2 linked regions of the Anolis sagrei genome follow. Each later gene encodes a partner of the first gene's protein in a complex. Links are inferred from orthologs where the notes say so. Each region holds a gene or a part of one and is shown in the gene's direction. Other genes may lie near its edges. The genes, in order: ESPL1 and PTTG1.

Region 1 (9,225 bases):
GAAAGGGGGTATATAAATATTGTAAATATATATATACACACACACTACAGTTAGAGGATATATATGTGTGTGTGTGTATGCATATATGTATACACACACACTACAGATAGATAAAGGATATATATATATATATATATATATATATATATATATATATATATGATACACACACAATACAGATAGAGATGATATATGGATAATCACACTACAGATAGATAGATGATATTTATACTACAGAGAGAGGATACACACATACACAAATATCCTCTATCTATCTATTTATCTATCTATCTATCTATCTATCTATCAGTAGTATGTGTGTATATATATAAATCTATATATATCCTCTATCTGTAATATTCCATATATCACATACGATAGAATATATATATATATATATATATATATATATATATATTCTATCTCCATACAGATAGAGGAGATACACACACACATGCACACACTACAGATAAAGGATATCACTAAATGTATGTTTGTATGTATGTATGTATGTATGTAGTGTAGGAGAAAGTTGCTTCTTTTGTTCCTCTTCAACAGACACGTCTTTCAGTCAATACAAGGGCACTTTTCTACACTACATATCTATGCAGCTCATAATTGTGGAGGTTTTTTTAAAAGAGAGAGGACAACCTCTTTCTCCAATGTAGACACGCTGTAAGCGGATCCCAAGGGTACAGAAGAGAAACTCTAAGTGACAATGTACCGCAATCCTTCACCCCAAAATGATCATTTAAAGTGTGACCCATCACTGTGAGGAAGGGTGCGTCTGCACTGTGGAACGAAGGCACTTTCAACACTGCCTTTGAACTGCTGTGGCTCAATGCTGTGGAATCCTGGGAGGTTGTATGTAGCTTGCAACTCCTAGAACGATTCCATCAGCGCTGCTTCCAGAAAATCCTGCAAATCTCTTGGGAAGACAAGCGGACAAATGTCAGTGTGCTGGAAGAAGCAAAGACCACCATCAATGAAGCGATGGTCCTCCACCATCAACTTCGCTGAACCGGCCACGTTGTCCGGATGCCTGACCACCGTCTCCCAAAGCAGTTCTCTACTCCGAACTCAAGAATGGGAAACATAATGTTGGTTGACAGGAAAAGAGATTTAAAGATGCATTGTCGAAGACTTTCATGGCCAGAATCACTAGGTTGTTTTAGGGTTTTTTGGGCTATATGGCCATATTCTAGAGGCATTCTCTCTGACGTTTCGCCTGCAACTACAGCAAGCATCCTTAGAGGTAGTGACCTCATTACCTCTGAGGATACTTACCATAGATGCAGGTGAAACATCAGGAGAGAACGCCTCTAGAACAGGGGTCCACAAACTTTTTAAACAGAGGGCCAGGTCACAGTACCTCAAACTGTTGGAGTGCCAGAATATAATTTGGAAAAAACAGGAATGAATTCCTCTGCACACTGCACATATCTTATTTTTAGTGCAAAAAGAAGAGAAAAAAAACCACTTTAAAACAATACAATAATTAACATGAAGAACAATTTTAATAAATATAAGCTTATTAGTATTTCAATGGGAAGTGTGGGCCTGCTTTTGGCTGATGAGATAGGATTGTTGTTGTTGTGTGCTTTCAAGTCGTTTCAGACTTGGGTTGACCCTGAGCGAGGGCCGGGTAAATGACCTTGGAGGGCCGCATCCTGCCCCCAGGCCTTAGTTTGAGGACCCCTGATATAGATAATAAACAATAACTGCATTTCTTAATGGTAAATAATTGGGTCTGAGCTACTCTAACACCCATTTCTTCTAAGGTTTCAAAGAGGGAAAAACACCAATCAACTGCATCTCTTTGACACACATGCAGAGAGAGATCTTAAAGCACACAGCACATACTCTAATATGAAAGAAACTAAAGATGAAAAGAAATGTGGGCCTGCTTTTGGCTGATGAGATAGAATTGTTGTTGTTGTGTGCTTTCAAGTCGTTTCAGACTTAGGTTGACCCTGAGCGAGGGCTGGACAAATGACCTTGGAAAGGCTGTATCCGGCCCCTAGTTTGAGGACCCCTGCTCTAGAACATGGCCATATAGCCCGAAAAAACCTACAACAACCCAGATTTAAAGATGGGCACAAGCCAACCTTAAAACTCTGACATAGACACTGAGAACTGGGAAGCCCTGGAGGTCAGCTGTGACCAGCAGTGCTGCAGAATTTGAAGAGGCGCGAATGAAGGGCGAAAGAGATAAACATGCCAAGAGGAAGGTGTGTCAAACCAACCTTCTACCTGCAAACCGATGCCCTCACTGCGGGAGAAGATGCAGATCAAGAATAGGGCTCCATAGTCACTTACGTACCCACTACACTTGGAGGTCCATGATGCTGTCAAGGTGATGCATGCCATATGCCAGCAAATATGGAAAACACAAGAATGGCCATCAGATTGGAAAAAATCAACTTATATAACCATACCAAAAAAGGGAAATGCGAAAGACTGCTCAAACTTCTGTACAGTGGCCCTTATTTTTCATGCCAGTAAGGTAATGCTCAAGATCTTGCAAGGAAGACTCCAGCAATACAGGGAGCGAGAGTTGCCAGATGTTCAAGCTGGGTTTAGAAAAGGCAGAGGAACAAGAGACCAGATTGCCAATATCCGCTGGATAATGGAGAAAGGCAGGGAGTTTCAGAAAAACATCTATTTCTGTTTCATTGACTATTCTAAAGCCTTTGACTGTGTGGATCATAACAAATTGTGGCAAGTTCTTGGTGGGATGGGCATACCAAGCCACCTTGTCTCTTTCCTGAGGAATCTGTACAAGGACCAAGTAGCAACAGTCAGAACTGACCACGGAACAACAGACTGGTTCAAGATTGGGAAAGGTGTACGGCAGGGTTGTATACTCTCACCCAACCTATTCAACTTGTATGCAGAACACATCATGCGATGTGCAGGGCTTGATGAATGCAAGGTTGGGATGAAAATTGCTGGAAGAAACATTAACAACCTCAGATATGCAGATGACACCACTCTGATGGCCAAAAGCGAGGAGGAGCTGAGCGAAGGAAGATTGATGCTTTTGAGCTGTGGTGTTGGAGGAAAGTGCTGAGAGTGCCTTGGACTGCGAGAAGATCCAACCAGTCCATCCTCCAGGAAATAAAGCCCGACTGCTCACTGGAGGGAAGGATACTAGAGTTGAAGTACTTTGGCCACATCATGAGGAGACAGGAAAGCCTGGAGAAGACAATTATGCTGGGGAAAGTGGAAGGCAAAAGGAAGAGGGGCCGATGGCATCCTTGAAGTGACTGGATAGACCTTGAAGGAGCTGGGGGTGGTGACGGCCGACAGGGAGCTCTGGCGTGGGCTGGTTCGTGAGGTCACGAAGAGTCGGAAGCGACTGAACGAATGAACAACAACACACTTGGAGGACCTTCAACCTCAGACTACGAGGGATCGCCTAAGTAAGTAAGTAAGTAAGTAAGTAAGTAAGTAGCTTCTAAAAGGGCTGCCAACTAACAGCTCCCAGGACTCCACAGCATTGAACCGAATGGTGACAGCCCAAGTGCCATTCATTCCTTCACTCATTCTGCACGCTGTGACTCCAGAAAGTGTTTACAGTGAGATTTCCCAGAGTGCAATGGGCGGAGGCGGGGCGCGGGGGCGGGGCGCGGGGGCGGGCGCTGATTGGCCCTCGGCGAGGATTTGAACAGGGCGCGGGGCCGGCTCGGGCCCTGGTTTCCAGTGTGGTGGTGACTTGCCAGTTGGGCGGAAAGGCTTCCTTCCAGCGGGTACGTAAGGACTGGGGTAAGCCCTGGCTTTGAGTTGGACTGGGGGAGTTGTAGTTTCGCAGAGAAGGCTACAAACACTGTAAAACTACAAGTCACAGGATTCAGTCGCACTCAGCCATGATGGTTAAAATGGTGTCAAGCTACAGTGTACATCAGGCCTGGGCAAAGTTGGGCCCTCTGGGAGTTTTGGACTTCAACGCCCACAATTCCTAACAGCCTCAGGCCCCTTCCTTTTCCCCCTCTGGCACTTAAGCGGCTGAGGGGGGAAAGGAAAGGGCCTGAGGCTGTGAGGAATTATGGGAGTTGAAGTCCAAAACTCCCAGAGGGCCCAACTTTGCCCTTGCCTAGTGTAGTACAGTTATATTTGTTTATTTATTTAAATAAGTAATAATTTTTAATTTAAGTAATAATTTGTTTTAATTAAATAAAAAGGGCCAGCAAATTGAAGTTTCTAAAGCATTTAAAAATTATGCTGATTTTATAGGAAGCTAAGGCCCCTTCTGTACAGCTGTATAAAATCCACACAGAACTGGAATATACAGCAGTGTGGACTCAGATAACCAAGTTCAAAGCAGATATTGTGGATTATCTTCATCTTGTCTCCTGTGCTATTCTAATAATATAATATATTGTATAGCCCCTGGTGGCGCAGTGGGTTAAAGCACTGAGCTGCTGAGCTTGTTGATCGAAAGGTCACAGGTTCGATTCCGGGGAGCGGCGTAAGCTTCCGCTGTCAGCCCTAGCTTCTGCCAACCTAGCAGTTCGAAAACATGCAAATGTGAGTAGATCAATAGGTACCGCTCCGGTGGGAAGGTAACGGCGTTCCATGCAGTCATGCCGGCCACATGACCTTGGAGGTGTCTACGGACAACGCAGGCTCTTCGGCTTAGAAATAGAGATGAGCACCACACCCCAGAGTCAGACATGACTGGACTTAATGTCAGGGGAAAACCTTTTTATATATATACATATAATTATAATATTATAATGTAATGCAATATAATAATAATATATTATAATTATATACTTATATTACATGTGGTATTACTAATAATGTTGCAGTATAATTGTTATAGTAAAATATAGCAATATTTAAAACTAATATAATATATTGTATAAAATCCACATAGAACTGGACTATACAGCAGTGTGGACTCAGATAACCAAGTTCAAAGCAGATATTGCGGAATATCTCCACCTTTTTCCACCTTGTCTCCTGTGCTATTCTAATAATATAATATATTGTATATACATATAATTATAATATTATAATGTAATGCAATATAATAATATGATATTATAGTTATATATTTATATTACATGTGGTATTACTAATAATGTTGCAGTATAATAAAAATAATGATGATGATAATAATAATAATAATAATAATAATAATTTAAAAAACTTCATTTATATACCGCTCTATCTCCCCAAGGGGACTCAGAGCGGTTCCCAGGTAAAAATCACAACATATAAAGTAAAAACCATAAGATTAACAAAACAAAATCTGCATAAAATTTTGTATAATTGGTATAGTACAATATAGCAATATTTAAAACTAATAATATAATATATTGTATAAAATCCACATAGAACTGGACTATACAGCAGCGTGGACTCAGATAACCAAGTTCAAAGCAAATATTGTGGATTATCTTCACCTTGTTCCACCTTGTCTCCTGTGCTATTCTCATAATATAATATATTGTATATACATATAATATTTATAATATTATAATGTAAATACAATTATACATTATAATGTAATGTATAATATATAATATTATAATGTATAATACTACTAATATATAATAATATTATATTATAATTATATATTTATATTACATGTGGTATTACTAATAATGTTGCCGTATAATTGGCATAGTACAATATAGAAATATTTAAAACTAATAATATAATATATTGTATGTAAGCCGCTCTGAGACCCCTTCAGGGTGAGAAGGGCAGCATATAAATGTCGTAAATAAATTATCTGCCTTAATATTCTGGGATATATGCCTGTGTGGAAGGGCCCTAAATCCAACATTTTTGGTGTGCCCACCTTCCTGACTTGTTTTGTTGTAAGATGTGACTGAATAAAATTGGTATATGTCTGCCTTCACATTATCTCATAGAGTCCCTGTAAGTCAACAGATAACAGATACCTATATGATGCTGCACAAGGAAAGAGAACAGGTCCCATGGGACGCGTAGTATAAAAAACAACATGAAATTGACAGTGAAGAAAGGCGTGACTAGAGCCTTTGGTCTTCTGGGTGTTTTGGACTTCAGCTCTTAGAATTCCTGACCACTGGAGTGGCTGGACAGGGCTTCTGAGAGATAGAGTCCCAAACACCTGGAGGATCAAAGGTTGGACACTACTGAACTAGAGGAAGTGTTCTGTGTGTACACTTGGGGTTTTTTTTTTTTTTGGTAGAAGAATGGTGCAAACTGAGACAGGAAGGATGAATTTGGGCTTGAGCCTCTTTGCCATAATATTACATGGTAGTTAAGTGGGATTAAGTTTATGATGTGTTCTCATATTTTGAAGACTTGGCTCAGAATACCTCAGCCCGCTATTTGCATAGCATGGAATCATTCTTCTTTTGGACTTGTCATCTAAAGTGTCCTCTCATTTGGATAGGCAGGCGGGAAAGCTTTGACAATCTGAGATGAGAAGTCTTGCAAAAACAATTCCAGGGATTTAACAGTATGGTCTGTTGGAAGTTAACTTTAATTTAACTATCATCAAGTTAGTTGAAGATAATTTGAAAGCCAAGACTTCCTGGCTTTCAAGTTGCTCTCAGCACTTGATGTGAGATACCTGTCTCAGCGCTATGTATGGTTAATCAGTTATATGTCTTTTTCTGTAGGATGCAAAATGGAGCACCTTAAAGGTGCAGATTTTGTGGCACAGACCAGTACTCCTGAAGAATCTCTGGCTTTGTTGTCAGAGTTGAAGGTAAGCCTCCAAGATGAGTTGATACCCTCCAGTCTGGGTGGTTCTGGAAAATGGCCTTTTAATGGATATTAGCAGTGATAGGAGAACACGGTACCTGTAGTCCTAGAGGCAAATTGCCTCTGAGAAAAGGCAGTGGCTCTTCTCCTTGGTAACATGGAGAATGGTAGCTGCCTCCATACCTAGGCTAGTCTAGATCAGTAGTTCCCAAACTGTTTTGGTCATGGAACCCTTCAGAAGACACCCCCTCCCCCCTGTGGAATTCTCAGGATTGTGAATGCACAATTTTTTCTTTCCGTCACCTCCTATTGCCTGGCTGTTATTGTATGTTTGAAAATAAAGAGATTAAATTTTTTTTTAAGCAGAAGTTCATTGGATTTCAATACGATCTGAATACTCTGGTATGGACTTAAAAAATTAAATATGTTTTTTAGAGGAACCTCTATGTTTTCATTGAATTTTAGGGTTTTGTGGAACAATTTGTGAATCACTGGTCTAGATAGCAAGGACAAACAATGTGGCATGCAGTACTCTGCCCTCTGTTAACAAGGAACAGCTGGAAAGCTCGGAAGTTCCGTTGGAGCTGTCACCTGACATCTGCTGCCCAAGGCAGCTGGTTTGTCTGTCTAACTGCAAAGGTGGCCCTGCTTAAAATGAATGCTTGGTATATCCTGAGGGTCGGAAGTGGGGATCCTATGCTTCCTTCATGCTGTTGATTTATAGTTGCCATGTCACTAATGTTTGGCCATGCTGATTGAAATTGGGATGTACTATCAGCTGGGTGGGAAAATATTCTGTCCAAAGAAACTGGGTTTTTTGGGTGGAGGGGCAACACACAGCAGATGATTCAAGGTTTGACAGGTTTTTTTTTAAATGACAGGTAACATTTACACATGTTAAAATACAGTCAATACTTGGAGCAAATTCCACCTGTCCCCATTCAGCTGTTGAGAGCCTGGAGAAGATACAGCGGAGGAACCCAGATTTGTGTTAATGCACAGCCTCTTGCTGGCTCTTCTGGTTTGTGTCAAGCTCTCTCAGGCACTGGGTTGTTGTAGGTTTTCGACAATACTCTCTCAGGCAGTTCGTCAAGGCTTTTAATAAGCAAAGCGCTCCTGGACTTCATGCATTTTCTCACACCTGTTCCCCGATTGACATGCACTTCTAATTAATTACACTTGTATCTGATATGTGCATCTAGACAAACTAGTAATAGTTTTCTGATAACTAATTGTTAGTTATTCTCCAAGATTTTGCAATAAATGAATGTAGAACTTGTGCAATGACAATTGGAATGGCCATGGATTATGACTTTAATTATGTGATTTTAATCATTGATGTAATTGTTTTTTTTGGTGTTTTAATTTTCTGGTTTTTAATGTAGATATTTACCAATTGTATGTTATTTAAGGCATTGAATAGTTGCTGATATGTAAGGCTGCTCTGATTCCCCCTCGGGGTTCAGAAGGACGAGGTACAAATATGGTAAATAAATAATAAAGAAATAATAGTATTTACATCTAAAAGACTGGGGATTAATTTAAACAGAAGTTAGTGTTGACTGCTTTCTACATTCTGATGCCAGACATACACATATTAATAATAAACATAGTCAAAAGCCCAGGTTATACAAGTCTGACATCAATAGAGGCTACTCACTTGGCATTAGCTAAAGTTGTAGTGGCTTCAGAACAACTGCCACGTGCCATCTTAATTTTTTTGCATCCAAAGCTTTTACTTCCACTAAAGAAGTTTCCTAAATTTTCTGTTGGATTTTGCATTGTCTAGTTTAAGATGATATGAGGGCTAGTGGCTTGCTAGCATGGGTCCACATGTGGTAATTGTATTGGAGAAGAAATGTGGTTGTCATTGGGGAACTGCACAATCTGGGATGGTGTGGGACATTGCAAGTTTCTGTTAAACATAGTTTTTTCATGCACATGTTTTCTCCCAACTGTAATAAGGAAAGTGCACTGTACAGTTTAGATAATACTGTATGCCTGTTCTTCCCAAAATGGGTGCCCTCCATATGTGTTGGTCTTCTAACTTTCATTATCCCAGTCTGTTGAGAATGATGGAGTGTGTAGGTATACATATTTGGAATCCTGCCTGTTGACATTTAAGGCCTTGTCTTGATTTCAGGAATGTCTCATCTCTGAAGCAAAAAATGCACAAACTTCAAGCCAAGCTGCCAAACAAACAACGGTGTGCGATCAGATCTTGAGGGCTTGCATCCACAGATTTGGGACAAAGTTAGACTTCTCTGCTCACTTAAAAAGCCTTCACGCCTTAGCCGAGGTGGCTTATGATGGTTATGTTAAAGCCAGGTCCCAATATGTTCCACTCTATTTGGAAAGGCTGCTTTATCATTTGCTGAAGGGTGCTGCTGCCGGGGGCCCGTCCGATTCCTGCATGAGATTTGCTGGTCTTCTCTATGAGGAGCTCTCACAGAACCAGCCTCCCCAGGTGCCTGCTGATGACTATACATCAATTACCAAAAGTGCCTTCAGTGT
Region 2 (9,225 bases), about 76 Mb from region 1:
CATGGAAGTGGCCATAGAATCGTTGAGTTGGAAGAGACCTATGTGAAGAGATACTTCACATAGAAAAGATAAATTGTCAGTGTTTGCACTAGGAGGAGGGTTATTGATACACACTCCAGTTCTACACATATAGACTGGAAAGTAAGCTTCACTGAACCTAACAAGCATCAACAGAGAAATACTACACCGAAATCTTCACCAAAGGTTTTAAAACTCACAAGATTTAAGATTAAAAAACTGACAAAACCCACATTCCAAAATCTCTCAATTTCTCAACTGCCTGCTTGCTCTATAAAGTGTAATGAAGAATCAACAATGTGAAAGACAGCCATTTCATTTGTTTCTTTAGTCCCTGGCTGCAACAAGGCCAAATGTTAAAAATAAACAATGATGCAATCTATTTCTCAGTTATAGCTCCAAAATAGCAGAGAAGGGATTCCTAAAAATATAAAATATGCATAATTTTTGAAGGAAACAGGGACTGGTTGGCAGAGATGCAGGAAATGTTGTATTAAGCAAATTATACAAGTCTTACTTTCCCTCTTCGTCCACTTCAGCTGGAGCATTGCCCAATTTTCGCTGTTCTTCCAACTCCTTCTTCTTTCTCCAATCCTCTCTTGTCATTTTCTTAGGCTCTTCTAAGCCATTTGAACCTCCACCAGGAGGGTTAGTAGCTATCGTTTCCATACTCCCAGATTCCATAGTCTTTTTTCTAGTAACCTATACAGATAAACAAATGAATAGAGGTTAAGAATGGTTAAAATGCCTTATACAATAGCATAAGGCATAGCACTTACCTTTCCAATAAGATTTATTGCTGTTATTGAAATAAATGAACTTCCTTCTATCTAGGTAAACTACTAAGCATTTGAGTTTATGTTGGTATTTTGTCATTTGAGAAGGTTGTTAATAGGGCTGGGCGGTTTCGTTTTGTTAATTCGTAATTCGTTAAAAATTCGTTATTTTTTTTTAAGTAACGAAGCGATAACGAACCATTCTGGAGCAACTTAAAAACGAAACGAATTTTTAAATTCGTTTCGTAATTGTTTCTAATTCGTTTTGTATTCGTTTCATTATCGTTTTGAAGTCGTTTCGTTATTATTTCCGCATGTCTGGGGCAGGTTTTATAGTTGTTTTTTGTTTAATTAGTGAAAAAAAATTATAATATCACACCAACAGTCAACAACAGAGGGAGAGGGAAGCTTCAGAAGTTCCCCCCTGTCCCATTTGGAGGTTTTTTAGCGTATTTCGCGGTCGCATCCGCCATTAACGAATCAATTCGTTATTGTTTCGTAATTTTTTTAACATTTACGAAATTTCGTAAATATCGAACTTTTTAAAAGAAAAATTTCGGAATTCTTTTTAAAATCGAAACGCAAAAACCCCCAAAAAACGAATCGATTTTAGAAACAAATTTTTCCGTTGTTACCCAGGCCTAGTTGTTAACACTTCTAATGGGTTTCTTACTTTTGTGTTGGCATTGCAATTAAAATAATAATAATATTATTCTCTGTGATAATAGTTTCACAATCACCTCCACGATGTTTTAATTTTCCCTCATCTATTTGAACTAACTAGCATTTATTTGTTCTAAACAACAACTGAAGAACTTTCTTTAAGTACTGGCCAATGTGGCATTTGAAACTGTTTTTAATCGAGAAGAACAACATCTTGAGAACTGTATTATATGTTTACTATACATTTCCAACTGCAAGGAACTGAAGCACCAGGGATGGAAAGACCTGTTTTACAGTTCTGCTAGTTACATAAGCTTATTTAGTATCTAAGCTACTATGCTTGGTTAAGTCATGTGAACCTATGTGAAACACTTTTATATGCTCCTATAGTAGATATTCTGCAGACATGACACAGAATATAATAGTACAATTTTTAAAACAATAGCAACAACCATAATTGATGTTCTGAACAGTCAAGTTTTTGAAAGATGTAAAAGAAACTATAGGTCAGGATTAATTTAAGCGTAAAAGCTTTGTAATTAAAAAAAATATTACTATCTGTTTAAAAAAAAGATTATGATTAAAGAAATCTACACTGTAAAACAAATTGTAGCATATTTAGTATGCTTATGACTGCCCACATTTGCATATGTTTACCTGCTGCTTATGGTTTTCTTTCCAGCAATTCCTCCTAGCTAGTTTAGGGAAGAATGCTCTATATAGAGTAATGCTTCTCAACCTGTGGGTCCTCAAGTGTTTTGGCCTACAACTCCCAGAAATCCCAGCCAGTTGACCAGCTGTTAGGATTTTTGGGAGTTGAAAGCCAAAACATCTGGGGATCCACAGGTTGAGAACCACTACTAGAGCATTAACTAGCCCTTTTGACAGCTATTGAAGGAGACTGTGGTAAGAAACAGAGCCGAGACGTTCATAATTACACTTGTGATACTTTCTAAAAATTCCTTTATAAATAGATGTTTGAGACACTAAGTACATATGCTGCTTAAAAACTCAACTATCCTGTCCCTGGGTATATCTACACTATAGAATTAATGCAGTTTTGATACCATAAATCAATATAAATCAACCTAAAGGCACACACATATCCACATTTAGGTTTTTCCACTATGTTTTGAGGTCTTTCAGAATCAATGGCAGGTGATAAAAAGCTATAAATTAAGGAAGACTCTTGGTCAGGAATAGGTTTTCTTCTAGAATTCTAAACAGTTAAGAGTGTAGACATTACTATGTTGCTTTCCCATTCAAGTCCTAATTGGGGCTGGAGTTCTTCCTTAACTTCCAAGACCAGATGGGATTTGGCACTTTTAGGACATCTGGACAGTATACGTATTGACAAATAAAACACACAAATATAAAGGAACTAAATACCAAAGCAAGGTATACCTACTGTGGTTTCATGGAGAGCATTCTGTTTCTGATCCCTGCTGCAAACAATATGGCACTCCCATCCGGTGTTGCAGCAGATGGTTCTAACTTTACATGACTATAGGGAAGGCCACTTCTGTACTGTAGAAATAATGCAGTTTGAGACCACTTTAATTGCCATGGCTATGGGATCCTGGGGTTTTGTTGCTTGGTGAGGCAACAGCCTTGCTTTTAACTGTATTTTATGTTGTTTGGGAGCATTGACTGCCGATTGTAAACCGCCTCGAGTCGCCTCTGGGTTGAGAGGGGCGGTATACAAATATGGTAAATAAATAGTGGAAACATATGGCAACACAGGATGTATTTACACTGTAGGATTGGTATTATTACACCAAATTCACTGAGATCTGTAGTTTGACAACGTCTTTGGCTTTCTCTGTCACAGAGTGCAGAAGCCTTACAAAACAACAGCTCCCAGGATTCCATACCACTGCGCCATGGCAGTTAAAGTGGTGTCAAACTGCATCAATTCTACAGTACAGCTGGAGACCAATTCCAATCCCTATTCAACCCTAGAAATCCACCGAGTGGACTCGGAGCAGTCACACTCTCTCAGCCTCAGAGGAAGGCAAAGTCAAGCCCCTTCTGATGAACTCCTGCCAAGAAATCCTGTGGCAGTTTCGCTTTAAAGTCGCCATAAATCAGAACTGACTTGACAACAACAAGAGCGAGGGATTACGTCCGTTGTGTAAACAAGTGTAATTGAAAGGTAGTTTGAAGGAGGAGTTGAGATCCCAGGAGAAGACACACCACAACACATACAAAAACAGTCTCCGCTTCCGGAAACACCAGGAAAAGCCCCTCAGACTCACCCAAAAGTCGAAGGCATTCACTCCTTCAGCTTTACTGAGGCTACGACACTAAGTAGGCCTCACTTCCGTTTCCCATAATGCAGCGCGCGGCCCTATTCGCCCCTCCTACTTTTTTTTCTTAAAGGGATAGAGCTTAATTCACCTCCGAAGCAAGGGATCCTTCCCAATCAGCTTCGGCTGCCCAGCGTTCATTCTGGGTGACTGCAGAGAGTGAATGGCTGCTTGAAAAAAAAAAAAAAAGGATTGGGTTTAAGAACCTGCAGAGCCATAGCTAGAGCACTACTATGGAAACAGACCAATGGAATCATGGGATTTATAGTTTAGCGAAGGACATTAAGAACTCCCAGTTAGAGAGCTCTTGGGCCTCGCTGAACTACAAGCCCAGAATGGGAGGTGACAGGTAGAGCGCTGGGCTCTTCCTTTTGGGCAGCTGGGTCATTGGAGAGATTTCTCAGCCTTTTGCAGAGAAGGGAAATCATATCTCCCTTTCAGGGCAGCCCTGAGCCTCCTTCCACACAGTTGTATAACATCCATAATGAACCGGATTATATGGCAGTGTGGACTCAGATATCCCAGTTCAAAACAGATATTGTGGATTACTCGCCTTGATATTTTGGGTTTTATGGCTATGTGGAAGGGCCCTGAGGCATAACTCCCTTAGGCCCCTTCTACACTGCCATATAATATCCAATTTATTTTATTTGAACTGGATTATATGGCAGTGTAGACTCATATAATCCAGTTCAAAGCAGATGTGTAATATCTTTGATTATCTGGATTGTATGGCAGGGCCTTAGGGCCCTTTCAGTGTCCTTATGTACCAGCTGTGTTTTTGACTGCAATTCCCAGCATTCCTCAAACTGCCCTTGGTCACGCTTGGCTTGGGGATTCTGGGACCTGCAATCCAAAAAGGCCACTTCTGTGCTGTAGAAATAATGCAGTTTGGGACCACTTTAACTGCCATGGCTATGGGATCCTGGGGTTTTGTGGCTTGGTGAGGCAACAGCCTTGGGCAGAGAAGGTAAAACTACAACGCCCAGGATCGCATAGCATTGAGCCCTGGCAGTTAAAGCTGTATCAATGCGGCACTAATTCTGCAATGTAGATGCACCCAAAATTAACTTTTCAAAGCGGCACTGTAGGGTGCTCTCTCTGGATTGCAGCACAGGCCAGCATCTGCTAAGGTGCATCTACATTGTAGGGTGAATGCAGTTTGACACCACTATGACCGCCATGGCGCAATGCTATGGAACCAGGGGAGATGTAGTTTTCCAGGGCCCTTAGCCTTCTCTGCCAAGGAGTGCCTTGCCAAAGTACGACTCCCATGACTCCATAGCATTGAGCCACAGCGCTTAAAGGGATCTCAAACGGTGTGAATTCCTGAGTCCTGCAACTAACACCTACAGTATTTTCCGAGGTTTACTCCCGACTGCGCAAACTCCGCTCGCGCCCTTCTTCTCTGCTGCTGTTGGTTTAGCAAAACAGCCAATCAGGATTGCTGGCGTCCTGCGAGGATGGGAACCAACCAATGACGTACGACGTTAACGATTTTAAAAACAGTTCCCTGTTAGACTGAACTCTATGAACTCACTTTGAAGGCACGGTGGGTTGGGTTGGGATTCATAAGTGGGGTTTGCAGGTGTTTTTCTCTTCATTTTTAATGGAATGCTGCTTAATGCTTTGAGATTCAGGACTGCACCTTTATTTTGTATAATATTATAAGCATAATTAAAAATAAGATATAATTAATAATGTACCAGGAACAAGGATAAACATTTATGGTTTTGTGTTTTTGCTTTAATTCCTAGTTGTTTCCTGTTGGTCGAAGCTTCCTTCCAAAAGATCTCAACCAGGATAGACTGGTGTTATTTGGCTGTGTTACTGCAGTTGGTTGCTTTCCAGAGAGTGTAGTTTGAGTGAGTAGCTCCAGACAGGAGAAACTGTGTCAAATAAGCCAAAAGTGTCGGCATGCATGTTGTTGGCTTTAGTAAAAAAGTAACTTTTTTTAAAAAAATCTTGTGACTGTTGAAACCACTGGTTCATGGAAAGTATTCAAATAAGTTAAAACAACAAACCTTTGAACATCGTACCTTTTCAAGACTTTTCTGCTTTGTTTTTTTAATCGCTTTTGAAAAAAAATTGTTCTGTTTGCAAATGTACTTTTATTAAGTACTAGCCATCCCCTGCCACACCTTGCTGTGGCCCAGTCTGTGTATATGTGTTTTGTGTGTGTATGTATGTGTATATATGTGGTTATGCAAATGCGTTGTAATGTATTTTTTATTTTCTGGCTTTTTAAGCCCCTTCTGCTGTGTTTTTCAGTGTTTTTATGAGTGATGGTCACTCGTTGGCCTGATAGGTGTATTGTGTCCACATTTGGTGTCAATTTGAGTTATGTTAATCCCACAAACGAACATTCCATTTTTATTTATATAGAGTTCAAATTTTAATTAAATATTTAAATACCACACTGATGAACTTGTGAGCTTTTATTTTTCTGATGCAAGTGACTAGAGCAGGTATGGGGAAAGTTCGGCCCTCCAGGTGTTTTGGACTTCAACTCCCACAATGTATAACAGCCGGTTGGAATTCCTAACCAGCGGTTAGTAATTGTGGGAGTTAAAGTACAAAACACCTGGAGGGCCAAACTTTGCCCATGCCTGGATTAGAGAGCAGTGAATGTTTTTAAAATTCCTTATATAAAATACTGTAGTGTTTGTCCCAGCTCAGTAGAAGGAAGCTTCACAAGTCTTAAACAGTGTGTCAAACTAATAATGTTTGTTTTCACTCCAAGAAGCTTGACTGGGTGTTCTTGAGAGAACATGTTTCCTGTTGTATTTTTGGGGCATTATTACATGAGCAATATAGGATCTGCTACTGCAGCTGTGGTGTCTATTTTAGGACCATCTGATGCAAAAGGAATGGCAACGCGCATATACATAGACAAAGAAAATGGTGATGCTGGCATTGTTACTGCCTCTAAGGATCGACTCAGAACCCTACCAGCACCTTGTGAGTATGCATTAATTCAAATGTAAAGCCGATATAAAAGAACTAATATGCCCCTTTGCTTGAAAGTACTAGTGACTTTAATGAGCGAGTTCTTACTCACCCTGTGGTTACTCTCATTCTTTATCGTAGTCAGCTATGCATTTATTTTTCTCATCTTGTACATAATTGCTAATCTCTGGGCACATTTCATAAGCAGCCACATTACTGAATTGTAGTGAGGGTTTGATCAGTTGTTGAATATGTTCCTTTTGGGGAACCCTGTGTGTAGTATCTTGAGTTCCTTGATGGAATATAAACATATGTTTTAAGAAGATACTTGAAAAGGAGTTAGTGAAGCTTTTATGTAAAGAGTAGCAATGAGCAGAAGACAATGTTTTAGAAAGAAAACTTTGAACAAGCAAAGGAAGAAAAAAATGGATAGAAGGGACACATACTATTAATTGGTTGCCTTTCAATGAGGAAGCTTCCAGTAGTACTTCACACTTAGAACTTTCTCCCTTGCAAGTCATAACACCTGAGCAGAGTTGGAAGATTTCTTCCTCCACTAGGCTTTCACCTGGTCAGGTTATGAGGTCTAAAGTGCTTGTATTAATTGCTCTAGAGCACTGCTCCTTAAACCGTGGGCCCTTATCCTAAATAGTCCTGAAAAATTTGGCAACAGTCAAAGGTTTCTGAATATTACTTATGACCTCATCAGGCAGGGTTTTTTACCTGTCCTAGCACGCTGCCGGAGCCCATCATGTGACACAGTGCTACTAGCATCGGGGCTCCGTCCTGGCAACATGCTAAGAGGAAACCAGGGACAGTAGGGAAATGTGGGATGAAAGCCTGTGACCCACCATGGTAAAGGGATGAAGCTGGGAGCTGACACGGGGTCCACCCCCCCCCCCAATCTCTTGACTTTTGGACCTTAGTAGCAGTTTTAGACTTTTATACAAATCAGTTGTGTGTTGTTTACAGTGAACTGCAGAAAATTCTTCAGCTGTTCTTAATAAAAGAAAATCAACTTATTTAGCAATCCTTGGAAATGATTTTTATGCTTATTTTATTTATATATCCGAGGTTATGTAAAAATATCTTAGTCTAAAATGGGTCCTAAGTGGAAATGCTTAAGGAGCTGTGCTCTACAGTAGCATTCTGGAAACTGGATTGTAACACAGTTATCTTCCTTGATGGCAAAATTGATAGTTATAACAATCAGAAACACTATTTTGTTCCTAGGTTATAAATGCCATTTTCTCATTGTTTCTACCATAAAAATCTGAACGAGTTTATTGAACTGCAAAACCTTTGTTTTTGCGGGACATCCTGCAGCACATTTTGCTATAGCTTTTTAATAACTATCTCATAGAGTCTCAACCAATTCCAAATAGTTTGTGGCAAGAAACTCTAGAAAGGAAGTTTCTGGAGTATAACAACTACTTTCAAAGTAAGGACCGCACAGTTAAACAAGAAATAACACTTTCAAACCAGGAGCAGATTTTTTTCCAGATTTTCTTACATGGTGTAATTTGTTCACCTGTCTGATGCCATACTACATATAATCAATGAAAAGATGTTGAAACTGAATCTTAAGCATGCTGGATGCTTTTTTCTTTCTGCAGCAAAGATATTTGGTGAAAAGTCTCACCCTAAGACTCCACTTGTTGGAAGGACAGCAAATGTCAATCTGAAGAATGCGAACTCTCAGTCAGCCAGGAAGGCCCTTGGAAATGTGAATAAGCCTTTGTCAGCAACAAAACTGGTTTCTATGGAAAAGAAGTTACCTGCAAAAAAGGTAACATGTGCTGTAGGGCTTCTTCTCATTTTGAAACAGAACAGTAATGCTAATGCCAAAGCTTGTTTTAGTATAAATTAAAGTGAAAATCTCACAGTAATCTCAACCGCAACATAATAGCCAAGCTGTGTTGTGTATTCAAAGATGTGCCCCAGTCTGTCAGACATACACATGGTGCCTAGTGATTGACCTATTTATTTTGGGAAAAGGGTAAAATAGTTCTAGTAAGTGTTTTATGTGTACTTTATTTCCTTGCAGTGCCTCAATAAAAGATAGTTGGGGATTCTTTATTTTGCATTAAACCCAGGGAAGGGAGACTTGTGGCCCAAATTGCTTTGCTTATCCTGTTAATTGGGAACAATCTGGGAAATGTCATTGTTTTTCTTCAATCATAGGTGAAAATAGGGGATGGAACCTATGCTTATAAAATGGCAATATTAAAACACAAGCTACTGTACAGAAAGAAACAAAAGATTGGTTCTCCTCCCATCACAGCACATCTCTTTCCATTGTGGCAGCTCCAGAAGGAAGCTTTACTTTCCTATAGTCATGGTTTTTCCATTTTCTTGTATCTATGAATGTAGAGAACTGACTGTATAACCCAGCTCTTTTTGCAACTTTTGTAACCACTTCCCCTTATTTTTGCAAGGCTACGAAGAGTACAAATCGAGTTGAAGGCTGCAGCATGATTCCAGAAAACTGTCTAGAAAAGGAGAATTTC

Evidence for each region.
Region 2: the proteins of ESPL1 (region 1) and PTTG1 are in contact, whole or in part, in a cryo-EM structure (PDB 7NJ1), measured with the Homo sapiens proteins. The link is inferred for Anolis sagrei from reciprocal best matches to the Homo sapiens genes ESPL1 and PTTG1. Residues at the interface, in NP_036423.4 of Homo sapiens: His402, Thr405, Val406, Tyr409, Ser461, Asn462, Tyr465, Tyr468, Arg505, Arg508, Glu512, Glu544, Thr547, Phe548, Arg551, Gln590, Lys593, Ala594, Val595, Arg596, Thr599, Gly600, Arg603, Gln634, Cys637, Tyr638, Trp683, Ile686, Glu690, Ile697; in NP_001269311.1 of Homo sapiens: Tyr111, Pro112, Glu113, Ile114, Glu115, Lys116, Phe117, Phe118, Pro119, Phe120, Asn121, Pro122, Leu123, Phe125, Glu126, Ser127, Phe128, Asp129, Leu130, Pro131, Glu132, Glu133, His134, Gln135, Ile136, Ala137, His138, Leu139, Pro140, Leu141.

The regions. Positions count from the first base shown.
Region 1 is NC_090022.1:187,106,393-187,115,617, reverse strand, and holds the start of ESPL1 (separin), read left to right. Parts: upstream 1-3,648; 5' UTR 3,649-3,752; intron 3,753-6,626; 5' UTR 6,627-6,634; coding exon 6,635-6,715; intron 6,716-8,854; coding exon 8,855-9,225. UniProt on the Homo sapiens protein: Caspase-like protease, which plays a central role in the chromosome segregation by cleaving the SCC1/RAD21 subunit of the cohesin complex at the onset of anaphase. During most of the cell cycle, it is inactivated by different mechanisms.
Region 2 is NC_090022.1:111,398,502-111,407,726, reverse strand, and holds the start of PTTG1 (securin), read left to right. Parts: upstream 1-3,880; 5' UTR 3,881-3,912; intron 3,913-5,215; exon of another isoform or gene 5,216-5,354; intron 5,355-5,388; exon of another isoform or gene 5,389-5,423; intron 5,424-5,523; 5' UTR 5,524-5,631; intron 5,632-6,616; 5' UTR 6,617-6,636; coding exon 6,637-6,727; intron 6,728-8,331; coding exon 8,332-8,504; intron 8,505-9,153; coding exon 9,154-9,225. Other genes in the region: pre-mRNA-splicing factor SLU7, read right to left, coding at 536-702. UniProt on the Homo sapiens protein: Regulatory protein, which plays a central role in chromosome stability, in the p53/TP53 pathway, and DNA repair. Probably acts by blocking the action of key proteins.